Oryctolagus cuniculus: one gene and its partners. The protein of the gene in region 3 purifies or fractionates together with the protein of the main gene of each other region. This does not show direct contact. Links are inferred from orthologs where the notes say so. Each region holds a gene or a part of one and is shown on either strand. Other genes may lie near its edges.

The links. Proteins that work in one complex are often made in the same cells at the same time.
Region 1: the proteins of SMARCA2 (region 3) and RBBP4 purify together in Homo sapiens (affinity purification with western blotting; 3 studies listed by BioGRID, with this or other methods). This does not show direct contact. The link is inferred for Oryctolagus cuniculus from reciprocal best matches to the Homo sapiens genes SMARCA2 and RBBP4.
Region 2: the proteins of SMARCA2 (region 3) and BCL7B purify together in Homo sapiens (affinity purification with mass spectrometry; 3 studies listed by BioGRID, with this or other methods). This does not show direct contact. The link is inferred for Oryctolagus cuniculus from reciprocal best matches to the Homo sapiens genes SMARCA2 and BCL7B.

Annotation. Positions count from the first base shown.
Region 1 is NC_091438.1:139,889,236-139,893,412, forward strand, and holds the start of RBBP4 (histone-binding protein RBBP4), read right to left. Parts: upstream 2,801-4,177; 5' UTR 2,699-2,800; coding exon 2,488-2,698; intron 1,993-2,487; coding exon 1,845-1,992; intron 1-1,844. Other genes in the region: ZBTB8OS (protein archease), read left to right, coding at 3,288-3,384. UniProt on the Homo sapiens protein: Core histone-binding subunit that may target chromatin assembly factors, chromatin remodeling factors and histone deacetylases to their histone substrates in a manner that is regulated by nucleosomal DNA.
Region 2 is NC_091450.1:50,474,243-50,478,235, reverse strand, and holds the start of BCL7B (B-cell CLL/lymphoma 7 protein family member B), read right to left. Parts: upstream 2,801-3,993; 5' UTR 2,652-2,800; coding exon 2,560-2,651; intron 1-2,559. UniProt on the Homo sapiens protein: Positive regulator of apoptosis. Plays a role in the Wnt signaling pathway, negatively regulating the expression of Wnt signaling components CTNNB1 and HMGA1.
Region 3 is NC_091432.1:164,360,317-164,363,644, reverse strand, and holds the end of SMARCA2 (probable global transcription activator SNF2L2), read right to left. Parts: intron 2,619-3,328; coding exon 2,476-2,618; intron 2,442-2,475; exon of another isoform or gene 2,336-2,441; intron 1,366-2,335; coding exon 1,330-1,365; 3' UTR 501-1,329; downstream 1-500. UniProt on the Homo sapiens protein: ATPase involved in transcriptional activation and repression of select genes by chromatin remodeling (alteration of DNA-nucleosome topology).

The DNA of each region.
Region 1 (4,177 bases), on a different chromosome or scaffold from region 3:
GACACCAATTGGCAGTTTAACCTTCTGCACCACACTCCCCCAAAGCAGAGGTTCTTCTACTGTGGTGCCAGGACCAATACCATCAGCATTACCTGGGAACTTTGGTTAGAAATACAGGGGCAGGCATTTGGTAAAGCTTTTAATAGGCCAGTTAGGCAGCTGGCATGCCATACAGGAGCAGAGTGTCTGGGTGTGAGTGCCCTCCTCACTTCCAATATAGCTTTTTGCTAATGTGTACCCTGGGAGGCAGCAGGTGACAGCTCAAGTACTGGAGTCCACGCCACTGATGTGGGAGACCTGGATTTAGCCTGGCCCAGCCCCAACTACTGAAGGCATTTGAGTATCTCAGCAGATAAGATCTCTTTGTCTCTTTCTGTGCCAATTAAAAAAAAAAATTCTTAGATCCACCCCAGACTTACTGAATCAGAAACTCTGGTGTGGGGCACAACAATGTTTTCCATTTTCAGCTGATCATGATGCATATTAGAATTTGAGAATCCCTGGTCTACCTGGGGAAGATGCTGCGCAAGTAGAATTCATTACGGCTTATAAATCAACTGCCTGTCAAGTGGATAAAAGCTAAAACCTAAGAATGTCCAACCAAAGCCAACTATGACAAAAATAAGATAAACTGAAGTGGGACCTCAGTGGAAGGAATTATTCAGTTTGGAACATATCAAGTTAGGGAAGCCAGTAAAATACTCCAAAGACGACACTAAAAGGCAGCTGGAAAAAAATCAAGAGCTCAGAAGTTAGGTTGAGAAATACCCCTTCACACAGAATTGACAAACAATGCCGAGAACATCCATCTTACACAGAAAGACAGAAAGGGGCTGGCATTTGGCACAACAGTTAAGGCACAGGTTGGGATACTGGCATCTATATCAGAATGCCTGGTTTCGAGTCTCAGCTTTCTGTAAGTGCATACCATAGGAGGCAATGGCTCCTAGTGGTGATGGCTCAGGTGAGTGGGTTCCTGCCACCTGTGTGGGAGACCTGGATTGAGTTCCTGGCTCCTGGCTTCAGCGTAGCCCAGACCTGGCTGTTAGGGGCATTTAAGGAATGAACCAGCGGAGGGGGCCTCCTTGTCACTGAGCCGAATCATAGTCTAATAATCCACATTCTGCAAATACTTTTAACTTTATATTTTATTTTTTGAAGCATTTTTTACACTATAGTCAAAGGCTTAGTACACTTTAACTTGCAAAGATTTATTTTGAAGATTTTATTTAGTACACAAAACACTGTCAGAATGTTATTATCAAAAGCAAAGATGTTCTATAACAGAAAAACCATTATTCTAACAGACACATCGGCAATACTAGACAACATTTCATCTCCTCTATCAGAGCTACCTACAGGCTTTCGCCATGCCCTCTCCCTGACAGGAAAACTATCCTTCCAGGTGTTTCCCCCGCATCCCAACTATCTCCACTGCCTCTCAGCAGCTTCCACTTGCCTCCCTGAAGGCAGCTGCCGGGCATCTTTGTAATCAGCTGTGACATGAGATCCCAAATGTCTTGCTACAAGGTCGTAACGCTGCCGAAAGCTGACAAATCTCACACGATTTTAAATACTGGGTCAACTGCAGCTATAACACGACTCCTCGAGTATCAGAGCAAGACAACGCCGGTCTGTTTTCTCTTATCAGGAGAATTACACAATGTTACATGTTGCCTTACTTTTGGGCCTCCGAAGGGAGGCAGAGGGGGGAGTGAAAACACGTCCCCCAGAGCCTCGGATCACGTGCACTCTCCGGCGGACCGGAGCGAGAACAGAAAAAAAGGAACGGGAGACTCTACACCGAAGAGCCATCAAAACAGCGCGCAAGAGATTCTTGTCACCTGGTTACATCTGGAAGCCACTGTGCAGTTAGGCTGGGCCACTCCAGGGCGTGGGTCATCACCAAGTCGTACAGAAATGGGGTGTTCTTTTTCCATATTTTGTACTCCTCGTTGATCACACGCTCTTCCACCGCGTCGTCAAAGGCTGCTAAAGATTTTTTTTAAGCAAACTAAGTTAGCGAGTGGAGGCAGGCGCGCTCCCCCGTCCTGACTGAAATGGAGGCGACTCGGCTCGACCTCCCAGGCCGAGGCTCCGCCGCGCCTCTCCGCCCGCGCGGGGCCGGAAGTCCCCAGCTCACTCCGGCCCGAGGCTCCAGTTCGGGGCGCCGCGGAGTCTACGGGACCGGCCAGGAGGCCCGGGGAGGGGTAGGCAGCGGCGCGGCACGGCGGCCACAGAGCCCGAGCGCGAGGAGGGACAAACAACCGGCCGGCCCCCACCGCCAGCTCCGCCGCGCGCCGGCGGGCATCGCTCCTGAGGACCTGGCGTGCCGTTAGCCGCCCCGCGGGGAGCGCCCTCCTCGCGCCTCCGTCGCCGGGGACTGCGCTCAGCCAAGTCGGGCCTGCCTTCACTCTTTGGCCGAGCCGAGGCCACGGCGCAGCCCCGGCACCCCCCGCCCTCCTGAGGCGGCCCCAGCAACCTCACCTTCCTTGTCGGCCATGGCGGGCGGACGAGCCGGGGGGAATCCCGGGGTCGAGCGCTGCGGGAGGGGCGGGGAGGCTGCGGGCGCTCGTTCGGCGCGCGCGGCCTCTATTGTTTCCTGCGGCCCCTGCGTGAGGCCCGACTCGCGCACCTTCGCGCCAACAGCAACCAATCGGAGCGCGCCGAGCGGCGGGGTGGGCGGGGAAACGGCCATCGCAGCCTATCCAGACGCGCGGAATCGTTCCCCGCGGGGCCCAAGAGCGCTCTCCACCCCTGCCCCCCACCGCCGGGGACCGACTTCCACCGGTTGCGCGCGCACCCGAGTAGGTGGGGCTGTACCCATCCCGAGTCACGTGAGAGAGTTTTAGCTCGCGCACTCCCGGGGGCGGCCATTTTCTTTAAGGCTGTTAAGCATATGAATCTATTGAGAAGAGCCCTGAGACGAGAAATTTCGGATGCTTTCACATCTGGTTATCAACTCTGGGGGCGAGGCGGAGAGAAAAGCCTTCACCCCTCCAGACCCAGAGGTGTCTTAATAAAAGTTTTCCGTCAACTAGTTTCCTTTGTCTTTAGAAAGAACTACTGAGAAGCGCCGAAAATGGGAGTTTAGCCTTTCAAATACGAGATCCGAGCGGCACGGCCCCAGATGGAAGTTTTCGGGCCTAACGTAGGTCGAACTGTGAGATTGGAGTCCTGGCCCTTTAAGGGTGCGTGCCAAGGGGCGGGGTCTAGGGCGGAAGTCGTAACGTGGAGTCGAAGTCTGCAGGTGTAGGGCGGAAGGAGAGTGTCCGAATCTGGCCGTCATGGCGCAGGGCGAGGAAGATGTTAGAGATTACAATTTGACTGAGGAGCAGAAGGCGATCAAGGCCAAGTATCCTCCAGTCAATCGGAAGTACGAGTGTGAGTAGGTGGTTCGCTGCTCTTCAGGTAGCGGTACACGGGCATGCCTTCCGGCCTCGCCTGGTATTCTGCCCCAGGGGTGCTTCAGGTGTGGACCCCGTGGCGCCCTGTGGTGTGGCTTTTCTGCTTGTCACGGGGGATGCTGAGAGGGCAAAAAAGCCTCCAGATGTGTTTGATTCGGGAAACCTGGGCTCCCGCGTTTACAGTCTCTTGAACTCTTTCCATAGGTGCCCGAGCCCATTTATCTTGGTGAATTGTGCAAGTGTAACCGTGTTTTCCAGCGTTGGGGGGTCGTCGCTCCCAGGTTGTCTCCTGACACTGGGATGCAGTGTAGCCAGGGTAGAGGACTCGGAAAGCTAAGTAGGGGACTTGGTGTTTCGCCTTGGTCGTGTTGGTAGTAAGACCTGATGTTTGCCATTTATTGCTTTGGTGACTTTAAGTAAATTCCATAACCGTATTTGCATCTCGATTCCTACATTTGATGAATAAATAATGAGTGTGGAGGTATAGTGCAGACTGTTAAGTTCTGTATTAGGAAAACTGGCCGTGTTGGGGGTGCAGCTGGTTAAGCCGCCGCCTGCCCCTTGGACATCAGGCTTCGGGTGCCGGAGTCCCTGTTGCTCCACTTCTGATCCTGCTCCCTGCTAATGCGCCTGGGAAAGCAGGTCCCCGCCTCCCACGTGGGAGACCCAAATGGAGCCCCTGGCGCTGGGAGGTCTACAAGAGACAGTGAGATCTTCCATCTATTGGTTTGCTCCCCAGATGGCCACAATGGCCAGGGCTGGGCCAGTCC
Region 2 (3,993 bases), on a different chromosome or scaffold from region 3:
CATAATGGGTAAAGCTGCTGCCTGCAGTGCCGGCATCCCATATGGGCACCAGTTCAAGTCCTGGCTGCTCCACTTCCGATCCAGCTCTCTGCTATGGCCTGGGAAAGCAGTAGAAGACAGCCCAAGTGCTTGGGCCCCTGCACCTGTGTGGGAGACCTGAAGGAAGCTCCTGGCTCCGGATCATCACAGCACCAGCCATTGCATGCATCTGGGCCACCTGGGGAGTGAATAAGCAGATGGAAGACCTCTCTCTCTCTCTCTCTCTCTGCCTCTCTGTAACTCAGCCTTTCAAATAAATAAAATAAATCTTAAAAAAAAAAAAAAAAAAAGAAAGAAAGAACAGAAAGCTCAGAAAGAATCGTTTTAAAAAAATAAAATAAGGCACTCAAAACAGCAATTCTAAGCTCTCTGTAGGCACAGGCCCCTTCTTGCATGCTCCTTATTAAATGATGTCACATGTGTGCCTCTGATAATGTTTTTGTCTCATCAGCTTATTTACCAAATTAGAATCTCAGTAAAGATAACAAACTATGTAGCACATCTTCAAAAATCCCTATTATTCCATTACCACTAAACATATAGACAAGCAGAAATAAACTTAGGGCAAATTTTTTTAATTAAAGCAAAAATTTAAAAAGAAGGTTCTGGTCATTTTAGTGTTAATCTCTTAAGTCACTCTGGTCATGGACTGGCTGCCCTGTTCTGCTTCCATATAAAGATTCCTCCAAGGGAGAAAGGACCACGGGGGACACACACAGACAGACAGACACAGACACACACACACACACACACTCTCTCTGCTGGGTGGGAGCGGCAGGCGTGGACCCGGCCTTGGGATCCCTTGCTGTTCTGCCTTACCAAGACTGCCTAAGGAGACAGCTAATCTGAAGAAATGTTCAGATTTCAACCTTCAAGTTCAAAGCTCTGGAGAAATCCTCATCACTCACAAAACAAGCAACGGCTCAAGACCAGGCCAAGGGCTTGCTCAAGACCACGAGGGCCTGACAACATGAGCTAGACCCAGCGAAAGGAAATCAGGCCCGTCCTAAACTCAACACAGAGCAACACGCTCGACCTGCTCTGAAGGGCTGCCAGCCAGTGTGTGTGCAGGTGGGAGCTGGCTTTCCAAGAAGTTGCCTCTCGGGGCTGGCGCTGTGGCGTAGAGGGTAAAGCCCCAGCCTGCAGCACTGGCATCCCGTATGGGCGCCGGTTCGAGTCCCGGCTGCTCCAATTCTGAGCCAGCTCTCTGCTGTGGTCTGGGAAAGCAGTGGAAGATGGCCCAAGTGCTTGGACCCCGGAACCCGCGTGGGAGACCTGGAAGAAGCTCCTGGCTTCAGATCGGCGCAGCTCCGGCTGTTGCGGCCAATTGGGGAGTGAACCAGGGATGGAAGACCTCTCTCTCTCTCTAACTCTGCCCATCAAATAATGTAATTAATTTTAAAAAAAGAAAGAAGTTACTTCTCTAAGACTGCTTAGTACTTGCTGTCAGCCCGAGCAAGAACCAAATGCAGGGAGCTGATGTCTCGCGGACCTGAACCGCTTTGCAAAGTTTCAAGGCCAAATCTGAAGTTTATACTAAATAAACACATAAAAGTCACTACTGTCACAGCTGCTATGAAGCAAATAATGCCATCAGGAAATGCAGAGAGGTGACGATGGACTGGAAACAACGAGCTAAAAAAGGCTCAGGGGGCACCGGTTCCCGACCGGTCCGCTCCGTTTCCTCATCTGCTGACCACGTATTCAGTATCGAAGACCCTCGTCTAGGAAGGCAGGGAACGAGACGCACGGCCCCTTCCCTCCCAGGGCCCGCATTCCAGCCGCAAGCGGACCTGGACAACTCAGTCAGCGCTAGCCGTCCCAGCGGACACTTCTGGCTTTCGGCGCGGTGACCGGAAGCCAACGGAGAGCGAGCGAGAAGGCCCTTCCGGCCTGCGGGGAGGGGAACGCATAGCCAGGCCCACACGGGAGCCCCCGGGCTCCTACCTACTGCTGGCTAGCTAGAGGAACAGGCTCCGGGAGCTTCCGGAGCTTCACCTGCGACTTCAGGGGGCGTTAGGGGAAAGAGGCAGGTTTCCTTTCCGATGACCACCACGCCTGCTCCCGCGGCAGGTGGAATTACCGGGAGAACTCTCAGATTTCGACTGTGTTATGTGGAGCGCTCAGCCGGGCCGACCGAAGCCACTCGGGGGATGGCTGGCTCCTAATCAGGGGGAGGACAGCACGGGGAGACAGCAGCAGCGGCACCAGCCCGGGACTCTGAGCCAGGACCCGCAGGCCCAGCGCCGGCCCGAAGTCCGCAGCCATCCCCGGGCCGCGCGCGACCGCGGCAGTGGGCGGGGCAGCCAGCCGGGCGGCCCGCTGATTGGCCCCGGTCGGCGCTGCCCTCTGACCTCACGCCGACGCCGGCGCGCCCTCCGCCCGCCCTCTCCCTCCCCCTCCCCCTCCGGAGCCGGCCGGCCGGCTCCCACCCAGCCTGCCGGACTGGCGCTCCTCGGGGCCTGGGCCCGCAACACACGCGCGCGCGCGCGCGCGGGCACCCTCGGCTCCCGCCCTCACCATTTCCGCACTTTCTCGATGGCCGCCATCACCTTCTTGATGTCGTCCTTGGCCCGGCTGCGGGTCTCGGCCCTGACCGACCGGCCCGACATGGCGGCGGCGGGAGCGGCGGGGGGCCGGGGCACTGCTCCCAAGACGCGCGGAGAATCGCGCGCGCCTCACACGCGCCGCCGCCACCGCCACCGCCACCGCCGCCGAAGCCGCAGCGTCACCGCGGCCGTCGCCCCCTCCGTGCGCGCGTGCGCGAGGAGGCGCGCGCACCCGCCCGCCCCTTGGGACGCGAGCCCTCAGCGCGCCTGCGCGCCCCGCCCCGGGCGGCCCTCCCGACCCCCGGGCATGGGTGCCCCGGGCCTGGGCGCGCCGAGCAGGCTGCACGTGCTGCGGGCAGGGCAAGGTGCGAGGCGCTGCCGGTACAGTGGGCGGGGTGTCCGCTTCTGCCCAGGGGCATTGAAGGTCCGCGCCCTTGCACTGCGTCCAGAGAAGCTGGGAGCCTGGCCCCGGTGGGACCTGAGTGTCCGCCCCCCCCCCCCCAGGACTCCCACTGGGCTCCAACGGCGGGGAGTTTGACACCTGTCTGGGGTGTGCCTGCTGTTCTTGGTGCTCACCCGAGGAACTGGCTGCTCGCTCTTCCAGAATCCGGTTCAAACTCCAGCCTCCCGGGGTACCCTAGGGTCCCCGTGTTCGTTCTTAGCACGATTCCACTGCCACCATTTAATGCAGCGGTCACTGGTTTCAGCGATGATGCCTTGGGAGGTTTTGGTTTTGTTTTTTCAAGATTTGAAAGACACAGAAAAGGGAGAGAGAGATCCTCCATTCACTGGTTCTCTTTCCCCCTAACGCCTGCAACTCCCAGGGCTGGGCCAGGTTGACTCCCAGAGCCGGGAACTCAATCCAGGTCTCCCGCGGTTGTGGCAGAGGCCCAAATTCTGAGCCATCCTCCCAGCTTGTGCATCCCAGGAGTGCCCCAGGCAGTCGGACCGGGGTGTGGGCATCTCAGGCAGCTTAGCCCGCTGCCCCGGAACACCACCCACGATGTGTTTTTGCTTTCAAAGAGCTTGGAGTTCAGTAGAACATGCAGACCAGGAAACAAGTATTTAAGATGCCATTTGATGAACACTAGGTTAAAAGAGACAACAAAGTGACCTAGAAAAAGTGCCCTTGAAGCTGATCTCTGCAAACAGGGCAGTCGCTAATGCCTCAAGGCCTCACTGCCTACAGACTCTCTAAACACTGCCCCCACCCACCTGCCAGCAGTCACGCATTCGTGCCCACGGGATGGAGGGAGGGTCCTGTGGCCGCAGCTCCTGGGGACGGCAGGAAGCAGTTCTCTAGGGAGATTTCTCTCTAGGGAGAGAAAGGCCCAGCGAACTTTGGACACAACAGAGCCTGGGACTGTGCCCATCTGACCAGTACCAAGACTTGACAAGCACACGC
Region 3 (3,328 bases):
TACTGTGCCAGCAAGTGCCTGGCACGTGACCTGAGGCATATCCGAAAGTTCTGTCCCAGGCCTTACCGCTGGGGAGGTGGGAAAGGGCTCTGGAGCGAGCTTACCTCCCGAATCCACCTTTGGTGTGCTCAGCCCACACCGTCTCCACTGCTGTATTCCTGTTTGTAAAATGGGAACGGGAAGTGCCTTCAGAAGGCTCTGAAGCAATGCGACCGACAGACAGTACTACGCTGGCACCTGGGAAAGAACTAGGCCTATTTAATGCCTGAGGAAAGGCTGAGCAGTGCCTTTGTGTGGCCTGGCCCATGGCGCCTCCCTCGTGGTGCACACACACCTGAATTCTCATTCTCTCTCTCTCGTCCCTTCCAAGGAGCCTCCCTGGCCCCCTTCAGGAAACAGTCCCCTCAAGCATGAGGGGGTCACTCCCTTAGGACTCAGGAGTAACAGGCAACACTGGAGAGCTATGGTGTCTCGTTACTAGGAAAGCACCAACGCCACGGTTTTGAAATTACTGGAATTTTATTTGCCTCAGGCTTATGACTTGCAACCAAAGACATTGTGCAAAGAAAGCAAAGATTAAGTACACTTTAGGGAGAAGGAGACGATACACATCGGTAACATAGGAGATCAGGTTGACCAAAAAAGCCATCCAGTACACTATATAGATTGCAATATTCAATAGCGTTTTCAACAAAACTTTTTTTGAAATCAAGAGCAAAAAAAAAATTTAAGCAATGTTTACAGTAGACATAAATCTTATACAATTCAAAAAGCATTGTTTTCAGATCATAGAGCATAAAATGGAAAAATGTCTATGCAGGTGAAATGTGACTACTGTACATTTATCACCTATTAAAGTTGCTTATATGTACCACAGTGTAAAAAAAAATACCGAACAAATAAAAACCTGGAAAATTGCCTGATGAAAAATAAAATAACCAGTGGCTTTTAATGGCTTCTCCTGGTTATCAGTGCTACAAAAGACAAAAATCTTCTCATCTGAACGGGTGATAAAACCAGGCACAATCAAACTATTACCAAATTAGACCCACCCATAGAAATATACTATCCACCCACATATTTTCCATCAAAAGATTGGTTTGTTTTTAATCTTTGAATCTTTGAGGCCCATTTGGTCACAATATGTTACAAATGTTGTGTGTGTGTGTTTTTACACCATGATATCATATGTTTGTCTGGCACTATCCTAAAGCTAGTTTATAGATGAGGATGATGACAGGGCCCAGTGCCACTATGACAAGTAGGTTCACTGGGCAGAGAGGGGAAGGAAGGAAGTCAGTTTTACCAAGGAAAAAAGGTCCAGACTGTTCATTCATCATCAGTCCCGCTTGCTTCCGACTGTTCCTAGAAGGAAAAACAAGAGGAAATGAAATAAAATCCCAGGAACGAGAGGAGACACCTTAATAAGCCATGGGCAGGCAGAGAAAGAACAAACGGCCTTTGAGAAACAGCGGAGGCTCCACATCTTTCTGCAGGAAGACAGAAGCACACCCAAGAGGCACTGACAGCAGTAAGGCCAAGAAGAGGGCTTGTCATTAAAATCCCAATGCCACACGCACCCCCACTTTTGCTAGTGGGTGCTCCCCTTCAGTCTGGGTTTACAGGTTTGTGGCTAAGTACTCTGTGTTTTTAGCCCTATGCCTTGGAAGATACATGGGAAGGAAAAACATCATGTATTTCCTGTCTGCTCCACTCGTAAGTGGTATGAGGAAAACACAGGGCTTTCAATGCATTTGAAAACAACTGTGCCCAGTGGTTAAGGCTGGTGTAAGATGATGACTCTGAAACTTACCATCATACTAACATGGACATGAGTTCCCAGAAAGAAAAAAAAAAATTGGCAGGGAAAGTAGAAGGAAGGTAGGGCAGGTTCAAATGCCACTGTCCTGTGCTGTGCAGACTTGGTCTGATTTCAGCTCTGCTGGTCACTTGCTAGATGACCTGCAGCAAAATGGCTAAATCACTCTCATGTTTTGAGAGTGGCAGCACACGATGCTGGGATAAATATGTACCAATACAGGAAGGCACCTATTTCCAGGCCTCAATCAATGCTCCCTGAGGTTTTTCAAATATTAAAAAAAAAAAAAACCCTTAGGTGCTTAAAAAGTCATTTGGGTTTTCATATGGCACCTTACTGAGCAACTCAAGTCCAAAACTCCGACATCCCAACACCTTTTCTCATTCTTCCATCTACTATATACAAGGCAGCACGACAGGCGTGATATACAAAATATGAATCGGCCATGGAGAAAACTCAATTTCTAAGATGAAAAACTACAAAATCGAGTTCTCTTCTCCCCTTTATTTTCTGCAGACTACTGAAGCAATGCACAGAGCCCCCAGATCTGTGGTCGAAGTCCTGCCGCTGTGTTCCCGTCCTTCAGGGATGGCATCTCGCCCATCGACTTTGTCACCCACAGGTGAGAGGGAGCAAGATGCCAGCACTGCACTCACGTTCTCATCCTGCTCCTCGTCGCTGTCAAAGTCGCTCACGACAGGCTTGGCTTTTCCTCGATTTGGCCTTTTCTTCCCTTTTCCTTTGTCTCGGCTTTTCTCATCTTTTTTATTGAGCTTGATTTTCACCTTAACCGATTTCGCTATGCAAGAACAAACGAAAGAGCCATCAGTGAGGAGACACGCAGCAATGCTTTTCACGAACCAGTGACGAGGCGAGCAGCCACCGATGACTGGCCACATGGTCAGGGTGCCTAGGAACTTCCCAGCTCCTGCCGTCCTGTCCAGTCGGTGGCCCCACACACGCACGCCTCTCTTTGGCAGATGAACGCTGTCACAGTACACAGGCCACGCGAGGGAAGGTGGCCTCCCAGGCAGGGTCCTTCTTTCCGGGCTCCTGCAGGCAGACGGCGGGAATGGGAAGCGCCTTTCCTATTTCAGGGAAGTGTTCAGGATGCATTTAATGGGGGGAAGGCTGCAGAGGATGCGTGCAGATCACTCTAGCAGATGGAAGCAGAAGGAAAATACCAATAGTTGAATAATACTTTTACCACAGGAAGTAAGAGAGTAAACACTCCTCTCCCTCAGCCTATTATTTCTAGGGCGGTGGGGAATGTGTGACAAAGGTGCTTCAGCCAGTTCATGGAACAAGGCATTAAAGGATAAAAATCTGTGAAATGCATGCATTTTTCTGCACACTTTCTGAAGACCTCTCCTATACCTGAATTACTTATGTACTTATCCCAATAGGATCTTTGTAGCTGGTTATATTTCACATATGTGGGATGAGTGTACCCATCAGCTCATGCCTACCTTCCTCAATGTTTGTACCACCTGAAAAGACCCCCTTGTA